Regions from separate parts of the Mus musculus genome. Here all the other regions are reported to be linked to region 2. Evidence: microRNA targets listed by miRTarBase, many of them from high-throughput screens and not tested one by one. Region 2 holds a microRNA gene; each other region holds the end of a gene's coding sequence.

Region 1 (10,469 bases), not on the chromosome of region 2:
ACTGCTCTTCCGAAGGTCCGGAGTTCAAATCCCAGCAACCACATGGTGGCTCACAACCATCTGTAACAAGATCTGACTCCCTCTTCTGGAGTGTCTGAAGACAGCTACAGTGTACTTACATATAATAAATAAATAAATCTTTAAAAAAAAAAAGTATAACTGCCTATGCAAAGGGCCTAGAACAGAACAATGTGGCTCCCTGGTTGTCAGTTCAGTCTCTTGAGGCTCTATGTGTTAGTTGATTTGATGGGGTTTCTTTTTTTCTTTTCTTTTCTTTCTTTCTTTTTTGTTTTTTTGTTTGTTTTTTTTTTTTTTTTTTTTTGGTTTTTTGGTTTATTTTATTTTATTTTATTTTTGATTTTTTGTTTTTTGAGACAGGGTTTCTCTGTGTAGCCCTGACTGTCCTGGAACTCACTCCATAGACCAGGCTGGCCTCGAACTCAGAAATCCGTCGATGGGGTTTCTTATAGTGCCCTTGACCCCTCTGACTCCTACAATGCTTCTTCCCTATTTTTAGCAGGATTCCCTGAGCTGTGCTTATTATTTGACTCTTTCCATCAGTTACTGGATTTAGCTTCTCTGTTGAAAATTGGGCTGGGCTCCTGTCTATGAATATAGCAAAATATCATTAGGAGTAAGTTTATTCTTTTTTTCCAGCATGTTTGGTTCTATCCTAGGGCTTTGGGTCTTGGCCCTCTAGGAAATGTTAGAGATAGGAAGGACACTTCATGCTCATCAAATGAAAAATCCATCAAGATGATGTCTCAATTCTAAACATCTAGGCCCCAAATACAAGGACACTCCTATTTGTAAAAGAAACAATACTAAAGCTTCAATCACACATCAGACCCAACATATTAATAGTGGGAGACTTCAACACCTCACTATCATCAATGGTCAGTACCTTCATACAAAAAGTAGACTGAGAAATAATGGACGTAACAGATGCTGTGCCTCAAATGGGTGAAACATATCTACAGAACATTTCACCCAAACACTAAAGAATATACCTTCTTCTCATCACCTCATGGAACCTTCTCCAAAATGGACCACATACTCAGTCCATAAAGCAAACATCAACAGACACAACAAAATTCAAATAACCTCCTATATCCTATCACACCACTGCAGACTAAAGCTGATTTGCCTCCTTAATGAAGCCCTGTGTCTTGGTGAGCTTCCCTCCAAGGTGGAAAGGTTTAATCTTGAAGAAAACTGCTAGATAACAATTTTTTTCTTTCTCTAACTCCAGAACAGAAACCCCAGTAATATAGAGACTGGTCTAATTTACAAACTTCTATCAGGAGAGTCTGATTTACTTCTCTCAACAGCCAGATAATCCTTTTCTTTTTTCATTTTTTTATTAGATATTTTCTTCATTTACATTTCAAATGCTATCCCTAAAGTCCCCTATACCCTCCCCCCACCCGCCAGATAATCTTAAAGCAATGAGGTAGAGCTGCTCTGAGAAGGTACTCAGGAGTAGCAAACTCTTCTCTAATCCTGGAGTAATTCTGTTGTTAGAAGACTCTTAAAATCCAATTGTTTCTGTTAGTTTTTATTAATTTTTAATTAAATTTATTCTTTTTGAAGCATAAAACATAAAATTGTACCTGTTGATGTATAATTAATATGAAATGTGGAATTTGACACACGTATACATTGCATAACTTTCATACAAAGCTAAGCACATCTATCCTAAACATTTCTTATTTATGAAGAAAACTGAAAATATTTCTGTCTTAGTTAGGGTTTTATTGCTGTGAAGAGACACCAAGACCACAGCACCTCTCACAAAGGACAACATTTAATTGGGGCTGCCTTACATTTTCAGAGGTTTAGTCCATTATCACCATGACAGGAAGCTTGGCAGTGTAGAGGCCTACATGCTGCAGGAGGTGAAACCTAGAGATCTACATCTTGATCTGTAGGCAACAAGGAGAGACTGTGCTACACTGAGCATAGGTTGAGCATAGGGGACCTCAAATCCCACCTACAGTGACACACTTTTTCTAACAAGGCCACACCTCCTAATAGTGCCACTTTCTATAGGCCAAGCATTCAAACACGTGAGTTTATGGGATCAAACTTATTCAAACCACAACTTGCTTCTACTTTCGGGGGCTGGTGAGATGGCTCAGTGGGCAAGAGCACCCGACTGCTCTTCCGAAGGTCCAGAGTTCAAATCCCAGCAACCACATGGTGGCTCACAACCATCCGTAACGAGATCTGATTCCCTCTTCTGGAGTGTCTGAAGACAGCTACAGTGTACTTACAAATAATCAATAAATAAATCTTAAAAAAAATAAAATAAAATAAAAATAAAAATATGCATACATAATCTTTAGGGACATACTATATAGAGTCACTGCTGTTTAGTTAGGTCTTATTTGGATTTTCTATTATTCTTGGGATTAAATCCAGGGCTTTCTCTGTGTTAGAAAAGCTCCGAACTATAATCACAGTCCTTTTGTTGTTAGCTTTCAAGGGAAGAAGGTCTTTTCCCCCAGATCAGAGCATCCAGGGGAAATAGTGGCGCTCTTGGAAACCATCTGAAGCACAGGAAAACTCCAGAGTAGGTTGGAAAGCCAGAAGTCCCAAGGGAAATTATCATCGCCACAAAACTGAGAGCAGCTATACTTTGAAGAAAGTATATGCTCCAGTGTTTCTGGACCACAATATATAAAACACTGTCACAGTAGTAACATGTGTGCATGCATGCTTCCACCTCGGTCCTCAACATATAATGTTTATCTGCTGAGGTATTCCTTTCTCTCTCTTTCAAGATGGTTCCTACAAGAACCTTCAAGGGCAAGCATGGGGTCTGATAGAGGAAATATTGAGGTAAAGGAAAATATTAAAGGATTTAATATTTTTTCTAGAATGGATATAGGAGAGGAGATGGGACACTTTGAGAGAATTCATGGATTCAGAGGGAATACAGCAGGGCAAATGTGGGGCAATGGGCTATGCACAGACAGCCTGGTTTCCAGTAGAGGCTAGGTGTGAACCCTGGAGAAACCCAGTGGTGTTAATTCCCACCTACATGGGACAGAAGGTCTCCTGGACCCCTCGCTCCTGTCATAGTTACCGCCCCCACAGGAGAAGTGTGGCTTTTAGTCACATAGACAATGTCCCAAGCTTCTGGCCTTAAGGCTAGCCGACTCCCAGTTACCTAGCCACAACAAGATAACAAGCCCACCATAAGAGAGACTGCTTGGCCCCTCCTCACTCTCTTACTCTCTTAAGCTTTTACTTTCCTTACTCTCCCTCTAACTCTCTTCCTCTCTCCCCCTTCCCTCTTCCCTCCATATGGCCATGGTGGGTCTCTCTCTCGTTCTACCTTTTCTCTTTCCCCCTGCCTTAAGTTCTAAACCATAGACTGTCTCTGCTCATCAAGGCCCGCTGTGCTTGGATGATGGGATAGGCTTTCTCCTAATGAGCTGTGCCTAATCTCCCGTCAGAAGGCCTTCCTGTGCTCCAGCCACAGACTGGACTAAGGACTCTCACTTGCATGGGAACCTCTCTCCCTCTGCCCTCTTTCCTGTATCTCCAGCACTGAGGGTGTCGCCCTGGGGCCTCTGGTATGGGGGAGGGGCTGCCCCTTGTCCCCCCACTGCTGAGTGGGGTCAGTGGCTTCACACAGCCAGATGCCCACCTGGGGCCAAGTGGGAAGCGACCAGCAGTCTTCCTGCATCTACCTGCCCAGAGCACAGGAACTCTGGCAGGACACGGGTTCTCTCCTTCTCTCTTTCCCCTACACCCAGCAGCCCCACAGGCAAAGATGTGAAGCTAAAAAGCTAAAAAGCCCTTTGTGGCAGATAGAGGCCATGAGATGGCCACTGTTCTTACTCTGGACTGTTAAGTACATGAATCTTAAAGTATTTCTAATGTCTTAGTAACTAAGCCTTATGTAAATCAATTAACACATAAATTATAATAAATTAACAGAGAACCATGACAATTAATTAAATATGTGTTTGTCACCAATAACCAGGTACTGTTATGTGGTAAAGACTTGCCTGCTTTGGTGTTTATCAACTGTGGTATTTGTAAACAATGGCCATGCCTCTGCTTTGTCAAGGTAGGAGCTGCACATGGCTTTACTCATCTTCATGCGTTCTCCTTCTCAGGTGATTAAATCATGGCCCTCATGTTTTTTGTTTCTATAACCAACTGGGTTATTTCTGAGAAACTGGCAGCACATTTTCCAGCTGCAGATTCACAGTTGTATTTACAATTAATATTTATTGAGTGTTAATTGGGTGCCTGACCTTGTACTGGGGACTGAAAGGGGCTCCAGTTGCTCTTGATTTATGCAGGTACTCTTTGGACAGCTCCATATACTTCCACTGTCTCATATTCCTATAGGATAACTTGTCTCTCATCTTTTGAGTTTTTGGTGACACAGAAATTGAGCTTGTTTGTGACATACATTGAGAAAGCTCACTCCTAGACAGTGACATGTAGAACCCCAACCCTGTACTGTTAGCATTGGGAACTAAAAGTGGGTACTCGTTCACATACCCACTTGAAGTCTAACTTCCCATTCAACTCGTACATTTATTACAGTAAGTCAAGCATCGTGGCCTTAATAAACCCCCCATTGATTTCTCACATATTTATTTGGAAGTCTTTTAGGCAAATGTTTATTTAAATCAGAAAGTCCCAGAAGCAAAGGAAAAACAACTCCGGCCCTATATCCCCTTCTGTGTTTGTGGAAAATTTATTTCCTGGTTTTTGTCTGATTCATTTTTTTTAGTAATGCTGAGAAGAGATTGACCAGGGACCAGTTTAGGCAAGTACAACTTTATTCATTCACCTTGGAATAAAGATATAAACACCCATACAGAAAAGCACCTCTTTGATCATTTCTTCCCCTTCCATTTTGGGGAAATAACTTAGTGTTCTTTCATGGCAAACATCATTTTTATATTATCAAATACATCAATAACATTCTTTTAAAAAATGGTGCTCACCACCCAGAAGCTGCTGATTTTGCTCACATTCTTCATCTTAACTAAACTCATTACGCATTTGTCCAGCATATCCAGTCATACAAATATGTCACAGAGCTGTTTTTCAAGGACAGCTTATAAAGGGGCTACTTCAAGGCGACTCCGTTCTAGCCTCCATGTCTTCTGGTTTCTGGTCTGTTCCATTTTGAAAAGAAAAAGAAAATGTATCTGTACAAATAAGGAAAGGCTGGGCAGGCTTTTGAGTGGGGAAAAAAATTAACTACTTAATTAAATATTCAGCCTGTTTATTTTGTAGGGATAAGATATGCACTATCTAGGCTTTTAAACTCTCTCTGTCTCTATCTCTGTCTCTCTCTCTCCCTCCCTCCTTTCCTCACTCTGTAAAATAGGCTGCATTTCTCAATATCCTTGAAGAAGCCAGGTCTCAGGACAGGTATAGGGGCCTAGTTAGCATACAAAGGAAGCTGAAGATTACCCTCCCACTCATCAGCATCTCTGATGTCTCTGTCTCTTCAGATTCAGGCCTTGCATTTCCCTTTATCCCTTTAAACTAGTTTTTAGGCCATAGTGGGAATCTTTCAAGCAAACAAGAAGTTTTACCAGAATGTAGTGTATACATTCCTTTAAAAAAAATATGTTGTGTAAAGTACTCGAAAATTGACTGTGTTCCTAGGGTAGACCAATAGGTTCTCCAAATTCTAAGCTACTTTATAGCTAGTGCATGAAAAAATATATACTTATGTGTGTTAGATGGACATGGGTCTTAGAAACAAGTTGGACACACCATACTGTGTATTACAAGTGTACAAAACCAAGTGTGAACATGCTGGCAACATCTGATTAAAGGCAGTGAGGATCCAAGACGGATGGAGTGTCTTAGTGTGTACATCCTGCAGCTATGCATGGGAGCAACCTTCTGCATGTCAGAGCTTTAGAAGATGGTAAATGGACCTTTCTAGAGAAGGAGACCCCTAGACTATGCTCTCCTTTCTTATGGAGGACTTTGAGAGTCCTTCTACATTTGACTACAATGACCTCAGGAATGTCCTCTGTGCTCTATCATTCTCCCTCATCACTCAGGGATGAACTAACACATGTTAGAGACATACTCTGGAGTTGACTAGACTCCGGGCATGCTCCATGAAGAACTGCCCTTCAAGGCTAAGGTCCCTGAGTGGTAGCCTTGGCACACAGTAAAGATAAGGGAGACAGAATACAGACTTTTTTTTAAGCATTTTTATTACACAGTAAAGAGTACAACAATACCTGAATCATACTTTAAAGATTCACAGGTTGACAGACCATACATTACAGTCCAACTAAGGAAAAAAAAAAAAAAGGATAAACAAGAAACCACAGTTCGGACATAGTAGACTTAAAAGCTCAAGAGTATGCAGACAAAAGCGTGATGCCTAGCCCCCGCCCCCCAGTGTTAGTCTACCGTTAACTTGTGGCACGTGTCTGAATTAAGTATTGCACAACAACTTTAATTTTTCACAATAATGTCGCAGAACCCAAAATAATTAAAATAAAATTACTTCAAATCTGCATTTCAACAGTCTCCAATTTTTTTTTTTCTGTCCCTTGAGGAATTCGGACAACATGGAGTCGCTTTCTTTCCCTAAGTATTCCAGACATAGGCATGCTTTGCATAAGTAAACCAGCCTTGAAATTTTTAAATCCCCAAGACATGCACCTACACATTAAAAAAAAAAAAGTTCAGAAAAATAAAAATAAAAAAGACAGGTGGCCCTGTCACACACAGTCTCATGACAGAGAAAGAGAAAGAGAAAAGAGACAGAGATAAGAGATAGAGGACGCCCTATTCCTATCAGCGACCACCATTCAATTCTATCCAATGAAGATAACTTTTTTTTTAATGTGTAATACCTACAAATCAATACTCTCACATAGCCTGTATATAAGTGACAAGCAAAAAAGGAAAGTAACAAAAGTTTTCTTTTCTTTCTCTTTTTTAGGTTTATGAGGTCTGCATTGTTACCAAGAAGTGATATGGTTTGCAGCTGTATGACTTTTGGTATCCTGGTTCTTTTGTGCCCATTTGGTTTGACTAGACCAGTTTTTGTTAGCTACTGGTGCAATATACATGCTGTCAGAGGTAGAGTGAAACTTTTTGCCACTGAGGAGAATGTAGCAAAACAGGAGGAGAGGAAGAGGAGGAGGAAGAGGGGAAGGAGGAAGAGGAATTAGAGATAGAGCTCAGAGTTAGGGATTTTTTTTTTTTTTGTATTGGTTTTCACTCAGGGTGCCCTGAATTAAAAAGTAATGAGACGGACTGTACTAATCCTTACTTTACACACTAGTGTTCAGAATAACAGTGCTGTTCCACGTACATCACAGCTTCTTGAGATCGAGACGTGAGGGTATGACATACCTCATTTTTGGGATTATTTAACCCTTCGTAGCCTAGAACATAGAATAGCTCTAAGAAAGGACTGTCCAGTGTCACAAGCAGACTAGAAAGCAGAATGAGGTCAAAGGATTCTGGGAGCACCATGGTAAGATAGAACCCATTCAGAGCCTGCTTATGTGCTTCTCGTTGCCTTTAGCAGGTGTGCTGGCAGATGGACTTCCAACATGCAGATAGATATAGATGCATTTATTTGCTCATCAGAACTTCCTAAATTAAAAGGCCATTGAAAAGAAAAAAGAAAAAAAAAAAAAAAAAAAAAAGAAAGAAAGAACACAACACCACCGGAACAAAATCAAAACCGACTGGTATATGAAAATATGGGGGAAATGGTTTAAGAAAAATCTTAGATTTTCGAGACATAAAGCAAACCCAGGAGGATTGCCTCTATGCAGATAACTTAAATACAACCACTTAAAACTGTATCCAAGGGCTACATTACCCGCTCCCCTCCCCCTCCCGCAAGCTAATGGATTGTACTCAATTTGTAAAGAAATGCCTGGTGTATGGGTATGTGGAGAAGTGTCTTCCCAGCCTTGTCAACTTTGGTTGTCTACACAGCCTGCAGCACTGCCGACTCTTAAAGCACACAACCACATCCTGGGCTAATGTGTTTCAAAACTAACCAGTAGTTCTGGTCTGGACCCTGGACAACGAAGGGTTAATGGATTCACACTGAACATGTTCAACCTGCTGATCATTTGGAAAGTACCACTGGTGCTTTTCAAAGTTCCGATTTTGGTCCCTCAGATCAGTCTTTGGCTGATTTCCCTTTTGTAAGAACACTGTATTACCTGGCACTCAGCAGGGTTAAAGCTGTTCGTCTACACCTCAGCATTTGGAGCTCTAATGATTTTTTTCATTTTTTTTTTGTAAAATTAGAAATACTTAAACAACCTTACAGCAATATGCATGCACTGTCCTTTTTTTTTTTAAAGTAGGATATCTTATTTTATTTTTTTTAAAAAAGTCCCTAATAATTTCTTTTCATAAAAAAAGGATAAAAGAAAGAAAAATTCCACTACTACTCTATGCTACAGCTAAAATTGGTGAAATGGCTCTAGCATATTTAAAAAGTTGGTTTGAAAAAAAGAAAGCATGCCTAGGGAGTCATTGTGACAGTGCAAAATACATTTATGTACATCCCTCTTAAAACATCCATGTGCTAGCATTCCATGAAGCATGCTGGTTTCCAGGAAAAAAAATCCTATAAGAGAGTGAGTTAGCAGCTCCAAAAGATAGCTTTTTCTTTTCTTTTCTTTTCTTCTTTTCTTTTCTTGAGGACAACCAAAAAAGTTTTTTTTTTCTTTTTTTTTTTTTTTAACTACTAGAGAAATATCACTAATACATACAGATATAAAAGCAGCATAGAAAGATACAGGTTTCTCACCAACTAGGAATAAAGAGACTAAATGTGGGCATATGGGTAAACTACAACGCATCTTCACATTTGTCCAACACATTTACAAGAAAAACACCATTGGGAAAACCTCACAGGACAGAAGTGTTTTAATACCAAGAGAACTACTAGATTTTAATTAAAAATCCAAACAGGGTGGGGTTGAAAAATTTTGGAAAGGGGCTGGAGCTGAAGCCACCATTTTTTTTTAAATTAGTTTTCAATATAAAATGAATGAGCTGGAATAGACCCAATGTCTTAGTCTGTGGAACCTTGCAAAAGTGAAGAAATGTTGAAGGGTTATTTAGGGCAGCTGGCTGACTTGGAAGCTGCCAGAATGCTAATTAACTGCAGGCTGAGTCTCTTAAGTGTGTGTGTGTGTGTGTGTGTGTGTGTGTGTGTGTGTGTGTGACTATATATATAAAAAGGAGCCTTTGTATTATGGCATTTTTTTTTCTTGCTGCTGTAGTCATACACCGCACTGGAAATCATCTTTCATTTTTCATTCTGTTGACCTGGATATTATTATTTCTTTTTCAGAAACAGGAAAAAAAGGACCATCTGTGTCTCCTTCCAATCTGCTGCACATCTGCGCGTTTTGCAGCGGGTCTTCAAAGTTCAGTTAGCAACCCACAGACGCCATTCATCTTCTTGTTAAAATGTCTACTTCTGTATCCACCGCTCATGCCCTTGAGGAATTGCCTCTTTTTTTTTTTTCCATTATTGTATATAAAGAACACTGTGACTTTTAATATTAGCATTTTTGCTTTCAACAGCAATTAGCAATCTCTTGGTTTGCTGTTTGGTAAAGCACTGGTTAATGAGGTCATCTAGTTTAAAATCCCAGCTACTTGGAAATAACAGGGAGGAGGTCAAATCTAGCATTTCACGTTATATTCTTTCCTCTCTTTTCAGTTCTCTAAAGAAAAGATATCTTTGTTATCCACAGTAAGTCATTACGACCCGTTACTGGCCTCTGTGTTCTACTATCGCCTCAAAGATACAGTTAGGTTCTCTCTTGCCGAAGTACTGAAATAAGATAGATAGTTCATCTATAAACAAACAAACAGAAAAGGGACTTTGAGCATCTGAGGATGAGGAATTGCTTTCGTGTTGGTTGTGGTGTCTTTCCTCTGACAGTCTGAGTTTAGGTCTAGCGAGGCGTCGTCTCTATGGTAGAGGGGGTTCCCGGGGTGGTAGACCTCGGAGTGGCTGCTGGTGGTGTGTCCATTGGGCTCCCAGCCCCACTGCTGGGTGTGACTGAGGAGCTGACAGCGGGCGTGTCTCCCTGCTGTGGGGCCTGCAGGGTCTGTCCACAGATGTGGTGATGCTTCTCCCAGTCTTTATGCTGGCAAAAAGAGCCACAGTATCGGGCCGTGTTACAGCCGCTGCACGTCTCACTTGCTTTCCGGCCACAGTTCCAGCAACTCTGAAGGAGAAGGAGAGATCCCAGGTGAATATTCATGAAGGTAAACATCTAGTAAACAGGGAAGGCATCACTGCTCCCACATCTCCAAGAGCTACAGAGACAAAATGGACGATTCAGAAGACCCTGGCTGAACTTCCAGTCGCACCACAGCCCCACCCTCTCCCTACCTCTCCAACCTGCTGCCCTTCTCCCTGTCAACGCCCCCATCCCGCAATACAGGAGTGTGAGACG
Region 2 (10,679 bases):
AATGGCCAGAGCTATGTCTCAGGAGGTGAGTACTCTTGCCAGTGTCAGGAGGATGAGGAGTTCAAATTCATGTTTAACTTCATGATGAGTTAGAGTTCAGCATGCGATTCATGTGATGCCCACCAAGAATGTGCATGTGTGTATAGTTGTGTACATAATCACTTCTGTATATGAATATGCATATACTCACACGCAAACATACTCCCATGAATGGCCCGAGCTATTAATCAGTTAGGAGGTGAATACTCTTGCCAGCATCATGAGGATGAGTAGTTCAAATTCATGTTTAACTTTATGATGAGTTAGAGATCAGCCGGGAATTCATGTGATTTTCCCTGTGTTTGTGTTTATGTGTATAGGGAAGTATGCCTGTACATGCGCGTATATGAACATGCATATGTATATATACACACAACTAGGGACACATATATGTGCACACAAACACACATGGCAGTCATCCATTTGATTTATACGTGCTTAGAGTTTCATTGAGTGTATATTCATGGTATAGTGAATAATCTCACTTATCAGATGAAAACCACTTGCCAGAGTTAGGAGTCTCAGGAGTTCAAATTCATGCTTAACTTCATAATGAGTTAGAGATCACCCTGTTTTTGTGTGATGGACCCTAGGTATGCACAAGTGCATATAATTGTGTGTGCACGTACATGTGTGTATATGATCATACTTATAAATACACACACATACAAATGTATTCACACACACAGGCATGCACACTCACACACATAAGAATGACACTCTTTGATCCATTTGAATGATATATGTCTTAGAATTTTGCTGATTATAAAGTAGAAGGACAGTGAAGGTCTCACTCACCAGGTGTAAACAATTGTCAGTGTCAGGAGGATCAGGAGTTCAATTTCATGCTTAACTTCATGAGCAGTTAGAGATCATCCTGGACTAATGTGATGGCCCCTATGTATGTGCCTGTGTGCGTAAGTGCCTGCATGTATATGCGTGTATATTTTATGCATATACATACACACACCTACACACACATGCACACAGACATGCGGGAATGGCCCTCACGGATCCATTTGAATGAAATGTGACCTACTGCTTTGGAGGTTATGTATGACTGGGCCAGGGTGAGGTCTCACAAACCACGGGAAAACCCTTGGTAGAGTCGGGAAGATCAGGAGTGCAAGTTCATGGTAAAGGCATGATGAGTTAGAGGTCATCCTGGCATTCATGTGATTGCCCCTATGTATGTGTGTATGTGTTGATGTGTGTGTACATGTACATGTCTGAATATGATATACATATACATACACGCACACATAAGACACATATGAGCACACAGACACATGGGAATGGCACTCATCAATCCATTTGAGTGATAAGTGACTTAGAGTGAAAATGCTTGCTAGAGTTAAGAGTATCAGGAGTTCAAATTCATACTTATCCTCATGAGAGATCAGCCTGTGATTCCTCCATGTATGTGCATGTGTGTATAGTTGTGTGTGCATGTTCATGTCTATATTTGAATATACATAACATACACACACACGTATAAACGCAAGCACACATACACAGACACAGGAATGGCATTCGCCAATCCCTTTGAATGATAAGTGATGTAGAGTTTTAGAGATTATGCAATAGGGGACATTGAATGGCCTCACTCACCAGGTGTAAAAGATTGACAAAGTCAGGAGGATAAAGATTTCAAATTCATGCTTAATTCAGTTAGAGATCATCCTGGTATTCATGTGATGCCACCCATGTATGTGCATGTGTGTTTACTTGTATGTGCATTGCATGTGTTGACATGATATACATAACATAAACACACGTGTATATGCAAGCACACACACACAGGAAAAAATTGCATTCATTTATACGTTGAATGATATGTGACTTAAAGTTTTAAATATTATGCAGTAGTGGGTCAGTGAATGGTTTTACTCACCTGGTATGAAAGATTGTGGATCAGGAGTTCTAATTCATGCTTTACTTCATGATGACTTAGAGATATGCCTGGGATTCATGTGATGCCCCCTATGTATATCTATCTGTATCTGTTTCTATTGTGTGTGGATTTGAGTATATGGATGTACCTATCTACACAAATATATACATGTACACAGACACAAACAAAACACACACACAAACATCAGTGCAACTCATCGATCCATTTGAATGACGTGTGACTTAGAGTTTTAACATTCCTCAGTACTGAATGGGGACAGGTCTCACTCAGCAGGTGAAGTCCCTTCACAGAGTCAGGTGGATCAGGAGTTCAAATTTGTGCTGAATTTCATGATGAGTTCATGACCAGCATGGGATTCATCTTATGCCCACCAAAAATGTACATGTGTGTATAGTTGTGTGCATATTCACTTCTCTATATGAATATGCATATACACGCATGCACACACATTCATAGGAATGGCCAGAGCTATGTCTCAGTTAGGAGGTGAGTACTCTTGCCAGAGTCAGGAGGATGAGTAGTTCAAATTCATGATTAACTTCATGATGAGTTAGAGTTCAATATGCCATTCATGTGATGCCCACCAAGAATGTGCATGTGTTTATTCTTGTGTACATATTCACTTTTGTATATGAATATGCATATACTCACATGCAAACATACTCTCACTAACGGCCAGATCTTTGTCTCAGTTAGGAGGTGAATACTCTTGCCAGCATCATGAGGATGAGCAGTTCAAATTCATTTAAACTTTATGATGAGTTAGAGATCAGTCCAGAATTCATGTGATTTTCCCTGTGTATGTGTGTATGTGTATAGGGAAGTGTGCCTGTACATGTGTGTATATGAACATGCATACACACACACACACACACACACACACACACCGAGGGACACATACATGTGCACACAAACACACATGTCAGTCAGCCATTTGATTTATACGTGCTTAGAGTTTCATTGAGTGTATATTCATGGTATATGGAAACATCCAACTTATCACATGAAAACCGCTTACCAGAGTTAGGAGTCTTCTCGTGTCAAATTCATGCTTAACTTCATGTAGAGTTAGAGATCACCCTGGATTTGCGTCATGGACCCTAGGTGTGTACATGTGCATATAATTGTGTGTGCACGTACATGTGTGTATATGATCATCCCTATAAATACACACACATACAAATGTATTCACACACACACAGGCATGCACACTCACACACATAAGAATGACACTCATTGATCCATTTGAATGATATATGTCTTAGAATTTTGCTGATTATAAAGTAGAGGGACAGTGAATATTCTCTCTCACCAGGTGTAAACAATTGGCAGTGTCAGGAAGATCAGGAGTTCAATTTCATGCTTAACTTCATGAGCAGTTAGAGATCATCCTGGACTAATGTGATGGCCCCTATGTATGTGCCTGTGTGCGTAAGTGCCTGCATGTATATGCGTGTATATTTTATGCATATACATACACACACCTACACACACATGCACACAGACATGCGGGAATGGCCCTCACGGATCCATTTGAATGAAATGTGACCTACTGCTTTGGAGGTTATGTATGACTGGGCCAGGGTGAGGTCTCACAAACCACGGGAAAACCCTTGGTAGAGTCGGGAAGATCAGGAGTGCAAGTTCATGGTAAAGGCATGATGAGTTAGAGTCATCCTGGCATTCATGTGATTGCCCCTATGTATGTGTGTATGTGTTGATGTGTGTGTACATGTACATGTGTGAATATGATATACATATACATACACGCACACATAAGACACATATGAGCACACAGACACATGGGAATGGCACTCATCAATCCATTTGAGTGATAAGTGACTTAGAGTGAAAATGCTTGCTAGAGTTAAGAGTATCAGGAGTTCAAATTCATACTTATCCTCATGAGAGATCAGCCTGTGATTCCACCATGTATGTGCATGTGTGTATAGTTGTGTGTGCATGTTCATGTCTATATTTGAATATACATAACATACACACACACGTATAAACGCAAGCACACATACACAGACACAGGAATGGCATTCGCCAATCCCTTTGAATGATAAGTGATGTAGAGTTTTAGCGATTATGCCATAGGGGACATTGAATGTCCTCACTCACCAGGTGTAAAAGATTGACAAAGTCAGGAGGATAAAGATTGCAAATTCATGCTTAACTTCATTTGGAGACATCTTGGTATTAATGTTATGCAACCCATGTATATGTATGTGTGCTTACTTGTATGTTCATTGTATGTGTTGACATGATATACATAACATAAACACACATGTATATGCAAGCACACACACAGGAAAAAAATTGCATTCATTTATACATTTGAATGATATGTGACTTAAAGTTTTAAATATTATGCAGTAGTGGGACAGTGAATGGTTTTACTCACCAGGTGTGAAAGATTGTGGATCAGGAGTTCTAATTCATGCTTTACTTCATGATGACTTAGAGATATGCCTGGGATTCATGTGATGTCCCCTATGTATCTCTATTCTATCTGTTTTTATTGTGTGTGGATTTGAGTATATGGATGTACCTATCTACACAAATAAGTACATGTACAGAGACACAAACAGAAACACACACACAAACATCAGTGCAACTCATCGATCCATTTGAATGACGTGTGACTTAGAGTTTTAAGATTCCTCAGTACTGAATGGGGAGAGGTCTCACTCAGCAGGTGAAGTCCCTTGACAGAGTCAGGTGGATAAGGAGTTCAAATTCGTGCTGAATTTCATGATGAGTTCATGATCAGCATGGGATTCATCTTATGCCCACCAAAAATGTGCATGTGTGTATAGTTGTGTGCATATTCACTTCTCTATATGAATATGCATATACACGCATGCAAACACATTCATAGGAATGGCCAGAGCTATGTCTCAGTTAGGCGGTGAGTATGCTTGCCAGAGCTAGGAGGATGAGGAGTTCAAATTCATGTTTAACTTCTTGATGTGTTAGTGTTCAGCATGCGATTCATGTGATGCCCACGAAGAATGTGCATGTGTGTATAGTTGTGTACATATTCACTTCTCTACATGAATATGCATATACTCACATGCAAACATACTCACACTAATGGCCAGATCTTTGACTCAGTTAGGAGGTGAATACTCTTGCCAGCATCATGAGGATGAGTAGTTCAAATTCATGTTCATCTTTATGGTGAGTTAGAGATCAGTCCAGAATTCATGTGATTTTTCCCTGTGTATGTGTTTATGTGTAAAAGGAAGTGTGCCTGTACATGCGCGTATATGAGCATGCATATATATATATATATATATATATATATATATATATATATATACACACCCACACAACTAGGGACACATACATGTGCACACATACACACATGGCAGTCATCCATTTGATTTATACGTGCTTATAATTTCATTGAGTGTATATTCATGGTATAGGGAATAATCTCACTTATCAGATGAAAACCACTTGCCAGAGTTAGGAGTCTCAGGAGTTCAAATTCATGCTTAACTTCATAATGAGTTAGAGATCACCCTGTATTTGTGTGATGGATCCTAGGTATGCACAAGTGCATATAATTGTGTGTGCACGTACATGTGTGTATATGATCATACATATAAATACACACACATACAAATGTATTCACACACACAGGCGTGCACACTCACACACATAAGAATGACACTCATTGATCCATTTGAATGATATATGTCTTAGAATTTTGCTGATTATAAAGTAGAGGGACAGTGAAGGTCTCACTCACCAGGTGTAAATAATTGGCAGTGTCAGGAGGATCAGGAGTTCAATTTCATGCTTAACTTCATGAGCAGTTAGAGATCATCCTGGAATAATGTGATGGCCCCTATGTATGTGCCCGTGTGCGTAAGTGCCTGCATGTATATGCGTGTATATTTTATGCATATACATACACACACCTACACACACATGCACACAGACATGCGGAAATGGCCTTCACGGATCCATTTGAATGATATGTGACCTACTGCTTTGGAGGTTATGTATGACTGGGCCAGGGTGAGGTCTCACAAACCACGGGAAAACCCTTGGTAGAGTCGGGAAGATCAGGAGTGCAAGTTCATAGTAAAGGCATGATGAGTTAGAGGTCATCCTGGCATTCATGTGATTGCCCCTGTGTATGTGTATATGTGTTGATGTGTGTGTACATGTACATGTGTGAATATGATATACAAATACATACACGCACACATAAGACACATATGAGCACACAGACACATGGGAATGGCACTCATCAATCCATTTGAGTGATAAGTGACTTAGAGTGAAAATGCTTGCTAGAGTTAAGAGTATCAGGAGTTCAAATTCATACTTATCCTCATGAGAGATCAGCCTGTGATTCCTCCATGTATGTGCATGTGTGTATAGTTGTGTGTGCATGTTCATGTCTATATTTGAATATACATAACATACACACACACGTATAAACGCAAGCACACATACACAGATACAGGAATGGCATTCGCCAATCCCTTTGAATGATAAGTGATGTAGAGTTTTAGCGATTATGCAATAGGGGACATTGAATGTCCTCACTCACCAGGTGTAAAAGATTGACAAAGTCAGGAGGATAAAGATTGCAAATTCATGCTTAATTCAGTTAGAGATCATCCTGGTATTCATGTGATGCCTCCCATGAATGTGCATGTGTGTTTACTTGTATGTGCATTATCTCTGTTGACATGCTATATATAACATAAACACACGTGTATATGCAAGCACACACACACACAGGAAAAAATTGCATTCATTTATACGTTTGAATGATGTGTGACTTAAAGTTTTCAAGATTATGCAGTAGTGGGACAGTGAATGGTTTTACTCACCAGGTGTGAAAGATTGTGGATCAGGAGTTCTAATTCATGCTTTACTTCATGATGACTTAGAGATATGCCTGGGATTCATGTGATGCCCCCTATGTATCTCTATCTGTATCTGTTTCTATTGTGTGTGGATTTGAGTATATGGATGTACCTATCTACACAAATATATACATGTACACAGACACAAACAGAAACACACACACAAACATCAGTGCAACTCATCGATCCATTTGAATGATATGTGATTTAGAGTTTTAAGATTCCTCAGTACTGAATGGGGAGAGGTCTCACTCAGCAGGTGAAATCCCTTGACAGTGTCAGTTGGATCAGGAGTTCAAATTCGTGCTGAATTTCATGATGAGTTCATGATTAGCATGGGATTCATCTTATGCCCACCAAAAATGTGCAAGTGTGTATAGTTGTGTGCATATTCACTTCTGTATATGAATATGCATATACACGCATGCACACACATTCATAGGAATGGCCAGAGCTATGTCTCAGTTAGGAGGTGAGCACTCTTGCCAGAGTCAGGAGGATGACGAGTTCAAATTCATGTTTAACTCACATTGAGTTAGAGATCAGCATGCGATTCGTGTGATGTCCTCCAAATATGTGCATGTGAGTATAGTTGTGTGCATATTCACTTTTATACATGAATATGCATATATACTCATGCACATACACGAATGTCACTCATATATTTTTTTGAATGTTATGTGACTCAGAGATTTAGAGCTTATGCAGTACTGGTCCAGAGCTATGCCTCAGTTAGGAGGTGAATACTCTTGCCAGAGTCAGGAGGATATGAAGTTCAAATTAATGTTTAACTTCATGATGAGTTATAGATAAGGCTGTAATTTATGTTTTTGCCTCTGTGTACGTGTATATGTCTATAGGTAAGTGTGCTTGTACATGTGGGTATATGTATATGCATATATATACACATATATGGACACATACATGTGTACACAAATACACATGGCAATCATCCATTTGATTTATATGTGCTTAGAGTTTTATAGAGTGCATATTCATGGGACAGGAAACATCTCATTAATCAGATGCAAACCATTTGCCAGAGTCAGGAGGATCTGGAGTTCAAATTCATGTTTAACTTCATGATGAGTTAGAAATCGTACTGGATTTATGTGATGGACCCTAGGTATGTGCATGTGTGTGTAACTTTGTGTGAATGTACATGTATGCATATAATTATACATATACATACACATGCATGCACACATACAGACTTGAATACTCACACACATAAGTATGACTCTCATTGATCAATTTGAATGATATATGTCATTGAATTTTATTGATTATGAAGTAGAAGGACACTGAATGGTCTCACTCAACAGGTGTAAAAAATTGACAGTGTCAAGAGGATCAGGTGTTTAATTTCATGCTTAACTTCATGAAAGAGTGGTGCAATGTGATGGTCCCTATGTATGTGCCTGTGTGCATAAGTGTGAGCATGTATATGTGTGTATATTTTATGCATATACATACACACACCTATATACACATGCACACAGACATGCGGGAATGGCCCTCACGGATCCATTTGAATGATATGTGACCTACTGCTTTGGAGGTTATGTATGACTGGGCCAGAGTGAGGTCTCACAAACCACGGGAAAACCCTTGGTAGAGTCGGGAAGATCAGGAGTGCAAGTTCATGGTAAAGGCATGATGAGTTAGAGGTCATCCTGGCATTCATGTGATTGCCCCTATGTATGTGTATATGTGTTTATGTGTGTGTACATGTACATGTGTGAATATGATGATATATACATACACGCACACATAAGACACATATGAGCACACAGACACACAGGAATGGCACTCACTCATCGATCTATGTGACTGTGAGCTTTGGAGATTATGTATGACTAGATCAGGGAGAGTTATCACCCATCATATTAAAAATGCTTGTTTAAATCAGGAGGTCAGGAGGTCAAATTCATGCTTTATTTCATGATGACTTAGAGATCTGCCTGGGAATCATGTGATGCCCCCATGTATGTGTATATGTGTGTAACTGTGTGTGGATTTGTGTACATGAATATACATACCTACACACACGTAGACCCATACACAGACACACATATGAATGCCACTCCTCAGTCCATTTGAATGATATGTGACTTAGAGTTTTAAGATTCCTCAGTACTGAATAGGGAGAGGTCTCACTCAGCAGGTGAAATCCCTTGCCAGAGTCAGGTGGATCAGGAGTTCAAATTTGTGCTGAATTTCATGATGAGTTGGAAATCAGCACGGGATTCATGTGATGCCCACCAAGAATGTGCATGTGTGTATAGTTGTGTGCATATTCATTTCTCTATATGAATATGCATATGCACACATGCACACACATTCATAGGAATGGCCAGAGTTATTTCTTAGGTAGGAGGTGAATAATCTTGCTAGAGTCAGGAGAATATGGTGTTCAAGTTTATGTTTAACTTCATGATGCATTAGAGATCAGCATGTGTTTCATTGATGCACACCAAAATGTGCATGTGTGTGTAGTTGTGTGCATATTCACTTCTCTATGTGAATATGCATATACACACATGCAGACACAGGAATGGCACTCATATATCCTTTGGAATGGTATGTGACTCAGAGCTTTAGAGCTTATGCAGTGCTGGGCCAGAGCTATGTCTCAGTTAGGAGGTGGATGCTCTTGCCAGCGTCAGGAGGTCCCAGAGTTCAAATTCATGTTTAACTTCCTGATGAGTTACAGATCAGCCTGTTATTCATGTGATTGTTTCTGTGTATGTGTATAGATAAGTTTGTCTGTACATGCGGATATATGAAAAGACATATATTGACACATATTCACACATGCATGCATACAGAAACACATGGCAGTCATCCATAAGTTTTATATGTGCTTAGAATTTCATAGAGTGTATATTTATGGTACAGTGAAATATCTCGCCAACTAGATGAAAACCGCTTGCCAGAATCAGAAGTCTTGGAGTTCAGAATCATGCTTAACTTAATGATCAGTTAGTGATCATCCTGGATTCGTGTGATGGACCCTAGGTATGTACATGCACACATAATTTTGTGTGCATGTACATGTGTGTATATGATTATACATAACACACACACACACACACACACGTATAAAAGCAAGCACACACACACCAAGGTATGGCATTCATCGATCCATTTGAATGATATATGTCTTAGAATGTTACTGATTATGCAGTAGAAGGACAGTGAATGGTCTCACTCACAAGGTGTAAACAATTGGCATTGTCAGGAGGATCAGGAGTTCAATTTCATGCTTAACTTCATGAGCAGTTAGAGATCATCCTGGAATAATGTGATGGCCCCTATGTATGTGCCTGTGTGCATAAGTGCGCGCATGTATATGCGTGTATATTTTATGCATATACATACACACACCTACACACACATGCACACAGACATGCGGGAATGGCCCTCACGGATCCATTTGAATGATATGTGACCTACTGCTTTGGAGGTTATGTATGACTGGGCCAGGGTGAGGTCTCACAAACCACGGGAAAACCCTTGGTAGAGTCGGGAAGATCAGGAGTGCAAGTTCATGGTAAAGGCATGATGAGTTAGAGGTCATCCTGGCATTCATGTGATTGCCCCTATGTATGTGTATATGTGTTTATGTGTGTGTACATGTACATATGTGAATATGATATCCATATACATACACGCACACATAAGACACATATGAGCACACAGGCACACAGGAATGGCACTCACTCATTGATCTATGTGACTGTGAGCTTTGGAGATTATGTGTGACTAGGTCAGGGAGAGTTATCACCCATCATGTTAAAAATGCTTGTTAGAATCAGGAGGTC
Region 3 (10,275 bases), not on the chromosome of region 2:
CTTATCTTTGCTATCAATTTTTTTTTTTCTGTTGACTTAGAAAGTTAATGTCCGAGCTGCTGAGATGGCTCAGTGGTTAAGGGCACTGACTGCTCTTCCAAAGGTCCTGAGTTCAAATCCCAGCAACCATATGGTGGCTCACAACCATCTGTAATGGGATCTGACTCCCTCTTCTGGAGTGTCTGAAGACAGTGACAGTGTACTCACATATAATAAATAAATAAATAAATCTTAAGAAAAAAAAAGAAAAAGAAAGTTAATGTCCAGCTGGGCAGTGGTGGCGCACGCCTTTAATCCCCACACTCGGGAGGCAGAGGCAGGCAGGTCTCTAAGTTTGTGGCTGGCCTGGTTCTCTGAGGGAATTTGAGGCCAGCCTGGTCTACAGAGCGAGCCCAGGACAGGTGGGTGTACTGAGAGTTCTGGTTTCTTTAAAACCCCCTCATGTTATGTGCTTTTGTTTTAAGCCCAAGTGTGGGATATGGGGCTTCTTCAGTTTGTCCTCAGCCACTATGATTGTCTTGTGCTCCAAGAGGGGCATGGTTTTGCCATCTGCAGATAGTTTAATTCTAGAGACTCTGGAGAGGATATTAATACAAGGGCCCCTAGAAGGCCTACGGCAGCTGCTCCCCTTGCTGTTGCTGGGATGCTGACTTGCCCCTGGGAACACCACAACCTAACCAAGGAAGAAGCCTGTGGAGGTCTTCGTCCTCTTTCCTCTGTAGCCTTTCTCTCCTACCTCATGTTGTATTGGGGCGGGGGGGAGGGTTAGAAGGGAGAGAATAGTATAAGAACTCTCAATAAAATAGATAAAAAAGACAAAAGTCAACAGCCAAGCCTATGCAGAGAAACCTTGTCTCAAAATAAAAATAAAACAAACACAAAATCTAGTTGTATAGGGTGAACCCACAATTATTCAAGTTTCTGAAGTGATACACTGCTGTGTGATTATCACCACTTCTTTCCTTTCAGGGCTACGAGGGTAGAGCGCTTGCCTGGCATGCAGAAAGCTCTGGGTTAGACCCCAAGAACCTTAGAACACAGAGTAACAGGGAGGCAGGGCAGGCTAGCCAGTGCAGCAGCAGACTGAGGCCATTGAAAAACGTAAACAAAAAAGTCACACCGGACCACATATCTATTAAGATAAAACACAGCCAGGCATGGTGGCACATACCTTTAATCCCAGCACTCGGGAGGCAGAGGCAGGTGGATTTCTGAGTTCGAGGCCAGCCTGGTCTACAAAGTGAGTTCCAGGACAGCCATGGCTATACAGAGAAACCCTGTCTCAAAAAACCAAAAAAACAAAAAACAAAACAAACAAACAAACAAACAAACCAGGGGGGGTGGGAATCCTTTTTAATGGTGATGGAGACTGAACCCAGAACCTGAACGGTTGTAGACAATTGTTCTGCCAGCCAGCTCTAACTTCAGCCCTTATTCACTGTTGTTTTGAGTCTCACTGTATAGCCCAGGCTCGTTTGTCCCCCCCCCCCCCTCACCCCCCGACTTGGGATTACATTTGTGTTATCACCAAGACTGCTTTCTTGTTCTTGCTTTCTAGTTTAAGACAAGCTCTCAGGCGTCCCTTCCCTTTCTGCTCTGAAACTGGATCTTATGTAGCTCAGGCTGGCCCGAAGTCCCTACGTCCCAAAGACATCTGATTCTTCCTGTCTCCACCTCCTGAGTGCTGGGACCCAGAGCTTTGTGCAACCAACTGTGCTACATCCCTTGCACCCGTACAGACCTTTTTACTCAAGCTTTTTCCAGCCGGGGAATGTCCGTTTCAGGGTACAAAATTGGCTTGTGCCTCATTCTTCCTATGGCGCCGCTGGGAGTCTTCTACCCTGAGCTATTTCTGGTCCACTTGCTTGCACAAGCTCTAGTATGAGGCGCGCCGCCAGAGTTATTTATTCGTCTGTTTCGGGACGGTGGGCCGGTTCCCTCTCTGCACTCAGACATTTGCTAAACTCCAGGGAGAAAGTGCAAATACTCAGGCTGGGCAATGGTGTCGGAAAGGTAAAGAAGGACTGCAGAGCCCAGCGTTGCATTTGTTGGGTATCTCGGGGGGGGGAGACCGCGGTGCATTGGCGGCCTCAGCAGACGCCTCCACAAGGAGGAGAGTGGAAGCAGATGGCCAGGCTAAATTGTAAATCTTAACATCTACTTCAGTCAGTCTTTCGACCACTATCAAATGTGAAATAAATAAATAAATAAATAAATAAATAAATAAATAAATAAATAAAACGCAAAACTCTGCCAAGTTACACCATTCCGCAGCTAACAGCCTGAGGAAGCCCCCGCTGCCGCCCCGCCCACCGCCCGGCCCCTCCCACCGCCCGGGCCGGCCCCGCCCCTAGCCTTGCGGGCGTCTGTGGGTCTGCAGCCGCAGGGTCATGGGTGGGGACAGCTCAGGCCCTTTCAATTCCGGAACCGGCGCACGCCTCAGGACCTGAGTCACCAACTGTCACCAGGGGCCGGAAGTCACCACCAACTCTCACGGCTGGGAAAAGGTTTCCTGTGAGCCTGCGGGTGCTCGCGGACTACGACTCCCAGCATGCTCTGCGGCAGCCGCACTTAACCCTTCAGGGACAGGAGCTGCCCTGAGTCCCGCCCCCCACCTGCCCCTTCCTCGGACCCGGCAAGGTGAGTTTTGAGGGGCTGGGAGGGTCTTTTTCCTCTCTAGGGCTTAGGAGTGAGTGAAAGTGAGGGAAACGGGCGTTTTGTTTAGGAAGGATTCTTTATTTTCCAAAAATGGGACAATTTGCAGTAAAAAGATTCTGACGCCCTTTTGCAAATGGGAGACCCACTGCTACTCTGCGAACTCCAGGGCCTAAGTGGAATGACCAGTCTCTCAGAATGCCATGTAATTCTTCTTTATCCAAGAACAGAGTAGCCAGAACCTCCTAGCTCCCAAACATCATCTTTTCCCTTCATCAGCGCTTCCAGCAAGGTTTGTGACTCAAAGCTCAGCTAAGGTTTTTGATGTGATCCTGACCAATGGTGTGTCCGTGTGGATACCTATGAACTCCTTTGGAGGTCCTGTAACCTTTTGGGTTATTAGGGGGCTCTTTGTCTCCCAGGGCCCCCTCCATGTGTGTGTGTGTGTGTGTGTTCCCTCCATGCTCACTAGGCATTATAGCCTTTTGTTTGATTTGAATAACATTGTCTTGTTGAAAAATGTTCCTTCTTTGGAATTATGTGTGACAGATGTTAAGCCTTGCCTACACTGGAACCCCTAAACCAACATTAGGTATAGAAGTCAGTGGGTAATAACACGCTCGAGTTACTGTGCATAGTTTAAGGTTGGGGGTAGGTGGGGGCCCAGGGATTACAAGTTCTAAGGATACGGGAAAAGACAGAAGGGAGTGCAAAGGCCTCCTCTCACCTTTTACTGTTTCCAGAACAGATTTTAAAACTTCCCACCTGATACCAGCCCCCCACCCCTCTACCCCGACTCCACCCCAAGCCCTTGCTTTGCTTGGGCTTTCCCACGGTCTAAAACTAATGCAAGTTTTTGTTTGTTTTTCTACTTTAGTTTTCTTCTTTCTCCCCTTAGCTCCTATCTCAGAATCACTGGCAAACATCCTATCTTCACCCTGGAGGTTAACAATCCCTATTCTGACAGGTCTCGTGTTTCTTCTCTGTACCCTTAAAGAAAACATTCTATTCAGCTGTAGGAGAGTGGTATCAGAGGGAAGAAAACTTTGGGGGCAGGAGTCCTGAACCATAGGAGGCCAGGGGAGTGAGGGCAGACAGGCATAAGTCTCTTCCCCCTCACCCTTGCCAACTGGCTCCCTGTCCCTGCTGCTGCCCCCGCCCCTTGACATCCCAGACTCCCTGCCTATTTAAACAGAGATGGGTGCCCCCATCAGCACATTGTTCTTTGGCCACCTGACATCATGCCTCCCAAGAAGGATGCTCCCGTGAAGAAACCAGCAGGGCCCTCCATCTCTAAGCCTGCTGCCAAGTCTACACCAGGGACCCCTCTAGCCAAGGCCAAGGCTGAGCCGGCTGCCCCCCAGGCACCTGCAAAATCCCAGGAGCCCCCTGTTGATCTCTCCAAAGTGGTGGTGAGTCCTGGGGAAGTGTGAATCTGGAAGGGATAGTTCAGAGATGCGGTGCAGCCTTGGGTATCCGGGAATATGTGGAAAGGATAGGGAATGAATGAACGCTGGAATGAGGTTGGGGCTCCCAGGTCAGGCCAGTTTCCGAAGTGAAGGGAGAGGGGTGCTGTCTGCCTCTGGCTCTTCTGTTCAACTCAGAAGGCTACATCTCTGAACCCCAGGAGGGGAGACTGAAGAGGGCAGGCTTGTTAGACAATCACAGCTGGGGGCAGGGGTAAATTTAGCCTTTGTTCAGCCCCCAGTTATGTGAGGGATGCAGGACTCGGGGTAGCAGGAGGGAAGGGAACAGGTGGCATGGGATTAACCCTGTTCCCAAGAAACCCTCCCCCTGTAATTCCTCTTGGGATTCTCCCAAGGCCCAGAGCTGGGGACAGGACTGAAGTGGCCCGGCTCCCCGCCTTCATCCCTTTGGGTCCCTCCCCAGAAGTGGCTGCCAGTTGGTTGTGATAGAGAGGGACTGAATAAGCCCTGTCATCTCCTCACCTGCCCTTTTTGTCCCCTACAGATCGAGTTTAACAAGGACCAGCTGGAGGGTGAGGAGAAGCCCATTTCCTAAGCCCCATTGTCAAACCCCAAACTCCTGGTCAGATTCTCTGTTCTAACGACAGTCCTGACCTTGAAACCTCCCACACTTGTCCTGTTCTCCTCCCTCCCATGCCTGGCTCTAGCACATGAATTTCTGAAGCAAACCTCCCTCTCTCTGTTGGTGATGGGGATCCTTGGTCACACTGCCTTCTCCTTACATCTCAGAATTCAGAGAGGCCTTTGAGCTGTTTGACCGAGTAGGTGATGGCAAGATCCTGTACAGCCAGTGTGGGGACCTGATGAGGGCCCTGGGCCAGAACCCTACCAACGCCGAGGTGCTCAAGGTCCTGGGGAACCCCAAAAACGAGGGTGAGAGGAGCCTTGAGTTTTGTGGGGGTTTCTGTTTTCTTCTTGGTGTTGAACGTTGAATACAGGGTTCTGCCTGGGCCATTGAGCTACATTTCTAGCCAGCAACTTTCTCTTCTTCCTCTTTTTCTTCTCTCTCTCTCTCTCTTTCTTTCAAGATAGGATTTCAGTATCCCAGCCAAGAATGACCTTACATTCTGATTCTCCTATCTCCACCTCTTGCTACTGCCCACTAGAGTGGTGGGATTACTCCAGTTTATGTAGTGCTGGGTTGAATCCAGGGCCTCAGGCAAGCCAGGCAAGCCCTTATTACAGAGGTACTGTTTTTTTTTACTTTTTGAGACAGGTGCTCACCAAATTACTCAGGTTGGCCAGGGACCTACAGTTCTATCCCAGCAGCCCCAATCCCCAGTTTTCTTTTTCTTTTTAAATTTTAATTATTATTATTGTTGTTTAGATAGTGTTGTTACTACCACCACTACTACTACTATTACTACTACATAGGGTGTCTCTATATAGCCCTGCTTAGCCTGGAACTCATTGTATAGACCAGGTTGGCCTCAGACTCAAGAGGGACTTCCCCTGCCTCTGAATGCTGGGACTGAAGGTGTGTGGGCTTAGTGGTTCTCTCTTTCTGTTTTGAGTGTGTCCAGCCACTGGGCTACATCCCTGCCTTTCCTTTTTTTTTTTTTTTCCTTTCTGTTGAGACAGTCTTAAGTTGTTCTGGCTGGCTTTGAACTTGCCTGGTAGCTGTAGTTACAAAACTGCACCACCAGGCCTGGCAACAGTTTCAATTTTCAATGACAGAATATTGGTAAGGTGACAGAGGACGCTAGGATGGACCTCAGGACTCAAAAAACGTCAAACACAGGGAAGAGAAACATCCTGAATGCTGAAAGGGATGAAAGTCACAATAGTAGGGTTGGATGGCACTGGATCCCACACCTCAGTTGATCTCTCTCATCTCTATCTAATTGCACTGGATCCCACACCTCAGTTGATCTCTCTCATCTCTATCTAATTGCCAGAGCTGAAGTCCCGACGTGTAGACTTTGAGACGTTCCTGCCCATGCTGCAGGCAGTGGCCAAGAACCGGGACCAAGGCACATATGAGGACTACCTAGAGGGGCTTCGTGTGTTTGACAAAGAGGGCAACGGCAAGGTCATGGGTGCAGAGCTCAGACATGTTCTTACCACTCTCGGTGAGGCAGGGCCCAGAGCTGTGGGGTGGAGAAGTGGGGGGTCCTGGAAGAGCTAAGTAGAGCCTAGAATGGGTTTATGGTCCTGCAGTTATGGGCAGGAGACTCAAGAGGGCCAGCATTGTGGAGACAGATCACCTAGAGGCTAAAGTGTCCAGCTATGAGCCAAGGGCAGGGAATGCAATGTCCCCCTTTGCAAGCCACAATTGTGTTGATTCCATGCAAGTCTCAACCCCGGCAGCTTGTTTCGCTGTCAAGTCAAAGCTTTCACCTGCTCCAAGGCACCGTTGATATGAAAAAGGGCAAGGGTGGGAGGATGAACCACCCTGAGAATGTCTTGGGCTGGTGAGGCAGGGAAGGCGGGGGACTCTAACTGTTTTTGGGTTCAGGAGAGAAGATGACTGAGGAAGAGGTAGAGACTGTTCTGGCAGGCCACGAGGACAGCAACGGCTGCATCAACTATGAGGGTGAGGGGGCAGGATGGCCAGGGAGTAAGGAGACTTGAGGGGGGTGGGAGTACCCTCAGTTACCCGAAGGTCAGTTTCTCAAGTCCTCTCGTCTCCTTTCGTGCAGCCTTCCTGAAGCATATCCTAAGCCTCTGAGCTCCGCAGGTGGCCCTCCAGCCAGCCCCTGGTATCCGCTTGAGAGGCAAGGGTCCTCGATCCACCAGATAGAAGCGCAGGCAGTGCGTCTCCGCGCCCGTCCGTAGCGCAGCCGCCAGGGCTGGACTATTTCCTTCCCCACCCCCCACCCCCTCCCACCCCCACCCCACCCCAGCCCCGACTCCCACCCCACGTAGAACCTGCAGCGACGGAAACTTGCCCCACCTCCTGTGCGGCCAGAAGCGCGTTCCTGCCACTAGGGGGCACTTACAGTTTTGAAATAAAAACATGGTTCCTGCTTCGGTTTCCGACAGTTTTCTTTTGAGAAAGAGGAAGGACGGGAGCGGGTAGTCCTCTCTTCTGCAAAAGCCCAAATCCTCTGCTCTTGGTGCAGCTCGGAAGAAAGGTTTCCGAGAGTCCCAACCCAGGCCCCCCTGCTAGATTCCTGAGCCGAGGTAGGGCGCCCCCCCCCCACCTCATTAATAATGTAGTGATGTCATCTGCATGAGCCCAGACTAGCGTGCCTATTGGATGAAACGGCGGAGGGTGACGTCATGCGCCATGGGACGTACTAAGGCTGGGGTTGGGTAGGGCGTCGGAGCCATTACTGCCGGAAAAGGTCCAGCAGAGCTCAGCAGCCAAGATGGTGGGCCCTGGGAATCGGGAGATCAGGGGGATTTGGGGCAAGGAGAGGACCGCGGGTGGGAGTAGAGAAAGCAGTGGACGTGGGCACGCCCAGGTTTTGGAAGGTTGGCTGTGGGATTGGAATGTCTAGGGCTTTGCCCTGGGAAGCGAATCCTCGGCTTCAAACAGGAGTTTGTAAAGCCGGGATAGAAGCTTGCGGGGTTGGACCTCAGGTAACTGACCAATCCCTTCTTCTCCGAGCAGTGTGACTTCACCGAGGACCAGACCGCAGGTAGGCAGTCTCTGACCCGCAGCTCAGGTCATCCTTACCGAGAGGGACCCCCTTCCTTTAGCATCTATCTTCTGATCCCAACCTGTCACCTCCAGCGCTCCCAGGAGAGTGCCCCGTGGATTTCCTTCTGCTCTAGATCCTCCATTTTCTTTTCTCATTCTTTCTTCCTTCCCCTTCCACTCCAGATCTGAGCCCCAAGCGCTGGGTGAGTTTTAGGTGGTGTGGGTGTGTGAAACAATTTGACTAGTGCCTGTTATGTGTCGGGTCTATTACGCTTGTGGTTTGCTGCTTCTTTTTTTGCCTCTCCTCTGATAACTGTCCCCTCCTTAAGCTTGGATTCTGAGTACTGTAGAGGGCAGTGCCTTGATATTTTGTTAAGATGGGCACTGGAGAGTTTGCTAAGGATGTGGCTTCACCTCTTGGAAGGTCTCCCGGAGGGGAAGGGTGGGAGTGGGAGGCTAGAGTCCAGGCTCTTACTTCCTTATATGGGCAGGACCTAGCCTGGGCGGTGGCAGATTCCTGCGGAGTTGTATAGTAGTGGTGGAGAGCCTAGCCTGCCGCAGCTCAGGGGGTGTGTAAACAGATGGCTACCACCTTAAGGTAAGGGAAAGAAGGTTGCCTGTCTTTATGTGGGGCATTTGAGTTGATAGAAATAGATCCCTAGGAGTAGTCTTGTGTATAGAGGAGGACAAGATATCTGGTTTCTGCAGCATGACTTAAGTTGAATTGGCAGCAGAGCTGTGCAGCAAGCACGGGGCTAATCCCTGGTGCTGCCGTTCTTCTGAATCCTCAGAATTCAAGGAGGCTTTCCAGCTGTTTGACCGAACAGGTGATGGCAAGATCCTGTACAGCCAGTGTGGGGATGTGATGCGGGCCCTGGGCCAGAACCCTACCAACGCCGAGGTGCTCAAGGTCCTAGGGAACCCCAAGAGTGATGGTGAGCATTTCAAGAATGTAGTGGGTTCATGGTTGTTCAGCTAAAGTCATCCCTTTATCTGCATAGGTGCCAAACTTGAGCAAGTTTTGTCTCATCCAGTTCTGATTCCCTCTTCTGGCCGTCCTTGTGTTCCCTACCGTCATGTCCTGAGAACATGTGTGACTTCTCTTGTCTGACACCTCCACCTCCCACATGACAGAGATGAATGTGAAGGTGCTGGACTTTGAGCACTTCCTGCCCATGCTGCAGACCGTGGCCAAGAACAAGGACCAGGGAACCTACGAGGATTATGTTGAAGGCCTTCGTGTGTTTGACAAGGAAGGAAATGGCACCGTCATGGGTGCTGAAATCCGTCATGTCCTAGTCACACTGGGTAAGGGTCTGTGACCTTTCTGGAGCTGAGCTGCCACCTGATATATTTCACCCGTCAGTCACTCAGTTCTAAGAATGTTCCTTCCTCTGCAGGCGAGAAGATGACAGAGGAAGAAGTAGAGATGCTAGTGGCGGGGCATGAGGACAGCAATGGTTGCATCAACTATGAAGGTGAGGGGCAGACCATAAACTGGGGCCTGTGAGGAAATGGTCGTTCAGGAGATGTTAAAGAGGCATTGTATTCCTAGACTTGGTTCCAGAAGGGAGTCGGGAGTCAAAGGGGCAAGCAAGGCTCAGTCCAGCCTGGGAGGGAACTGTTGGGGAGACAGCAGTAAAGGGGGGGGTGATGGAGGACGGAGGGTGGGCTAGGAATGGGACGTAAACAGAATGTCTGTTCCACTGCCTGACCCCTTCACCCCATGTCTGTGTCTTGTCTTCACCATTAATGTCTCTTCCTTCCTGCAGCATTTGTGAGGCATATCCTGTCGGGGTGACGGGCCCATGGGGCGGGTACGGCTCCTCCCAGCCTCTCCTCTAGTTATCTCCCTAGTGTTTTTTTTTCCTTCCCAACCTGTGCTCTAGCCTCTGGCCATACCCTACTACCATCTGCCTTACTCCTGGCATGACTCTGCATGGAGCTGGCTTGGGAGGGGAGAAATTCCTCAATGAGGAATGCAGTTTGGGGGTGTGGTACCTCCTCTCCTAGAATGGTCTCTGAGATTTGACTTACAGGGGTCTTGGTGCTGGTGTCTGGGAACGCTCACCAGCTTGTAGGGAAGGCTGGTCTGATGGTGATTCTAGAGTTGGCGGGGGCAGGGTTGAGCTAACTGCCCCATTCTGCTGCTAAAACAAAAGTCCTTTTTCCATCCCTCTACTGGACAGCGTGGAGGTACCCTAACCCAAAGCTGACCTCTCCTCCTGCCAGTGGCTGACCATAACTGTAGGTGTAGCTGAGAACTTTTCTGCCTCTGCTATGTTCTTGCTATTTAGATTGGGGGTGGGGGCTAACAGCCAGTGGGAGGGGAACCAGGGACAGAGAGAACTGGCCACTCTGAGTGGCTCTTTTGAAAACTGACCCAAGGTTGGTTGCTATGGGCATGTTCCCTCCTGCCACCTTCATGGTCTCGTGGTCTCCTGGCCCATGGGTACCCCTCCCCAGCCCTCTCCTCGGCTGACTCCGCCTCTCTTCTCCACAGAGCTTGTCCGGATGGTGCTGAATGGCTGAGGACATTCTGTA

What was found. The annotated mature microRNA mmu-miR-467b-5p reads GUAAGUGCCUGCAUGUAUAUG and lies in region 2 at 5,837-5,857, shown strand. An mRNA with a match to its seed (bases 2 to 7 or 8) in the 3' UTR can be bound and repressed. Matches are read on the target gene's strand: a 7mer-m8 pairs with bases 2 to 8, a 7mer-A1 pairs with bases 2 to 7 and ends in A, and an 8mer does both.
Region 1: miRTarBase lists Runx1t1 as a target of mmu-miR-467b-5p. Seed matches in the 3' UTR shown: 7mer-A1 at 9,174-9,180.
Region 3: the mRNA of Myl6b is a reported target of mmu-miR-467b-5p. Seed matches in the 3' UTR shown: 7mer-m8 at 7,077-7,083.

The regions. Positions count from the first base shown.
Region 1 is chr4:13,889,381-13,899,849 of GRCm38, reverse strand. Runx1t1 (RUNX1 translocation partner 1) reads right to left here. Exons shown (of 11, transcript NM_009822.3): 11 at 4,794-10,238. The coding sequence ends at 9,963. Among named protein-coding and RNA genes, the nearest start is that of Gm11823, 100 kb to the left of the region's middle.
Region 2 is chr2:10,497,450-10,508,128 of GRCm38, forward strand. Mir467a-10 (microRNA 467a-10) reads left to right here and starts at 5,824; the gene lies at 5,824-5,906. The region is part of intron 10 of Sfmbt2 (Scm-like with four mbt domains 2); the gene reads left to right. It overlaps Mir669a-11 (microRNA 669a-11), which reads left to right and starts at 3,890; the gene lies at 3,890-3,976. Mir466b-3 (microRNA 466b-3) reads left to right here and starts at 6,116; the gene lies at 6,116-6,196. It also overlaps Mir669a-12, Mir467a-9, Mir466b-2, Mir669a-10, Mir467e and Mir466p, and 2 more genes.
Region 3 is chr10:128,490,993-128,501,267 of GRCm38, reverse strand. It overlaps Myl6b (myosin, light polypeptide 6B), which reads left to right and starts at 2,583. Exons shown (of 7, transcript NM_172259.1): 1 at 2,583-2,640; 2 at 3,851-4,067; 3 at 4,627-4,654; 4 at 4,872-5,015; 5 at 6,041-6,214; 6 at 6,601-6,678; 7 at 6,785-7,111. The coding sequence starts at 3,897. The coding sequence ends at 6,813. It overlaps Myl6 (myosin, light polypeptide 6, alkali, smooth muscle and non-muscle), which reads left to right and starts at 7,382. Exons shown (of 7, transcript NM_001317218.1): 1 at 7,382-7,459; 2 at 7,702-7,729; 3 at 8,523-8,666; 4 at 8,866-9,039; 5 at 9,132-9,209; 6 at 9,504-9,548; 7 at 10,235-10,275. The coding sequence starts at 7,457. The coding sequence ends at 9,532. A430046D13Rik (Riken cDNA A430046D13 gene) reads right to left here and starts at 2,021. Exons shown (of 2, transcript NR_131151.1): 1 at 1,742-2,021.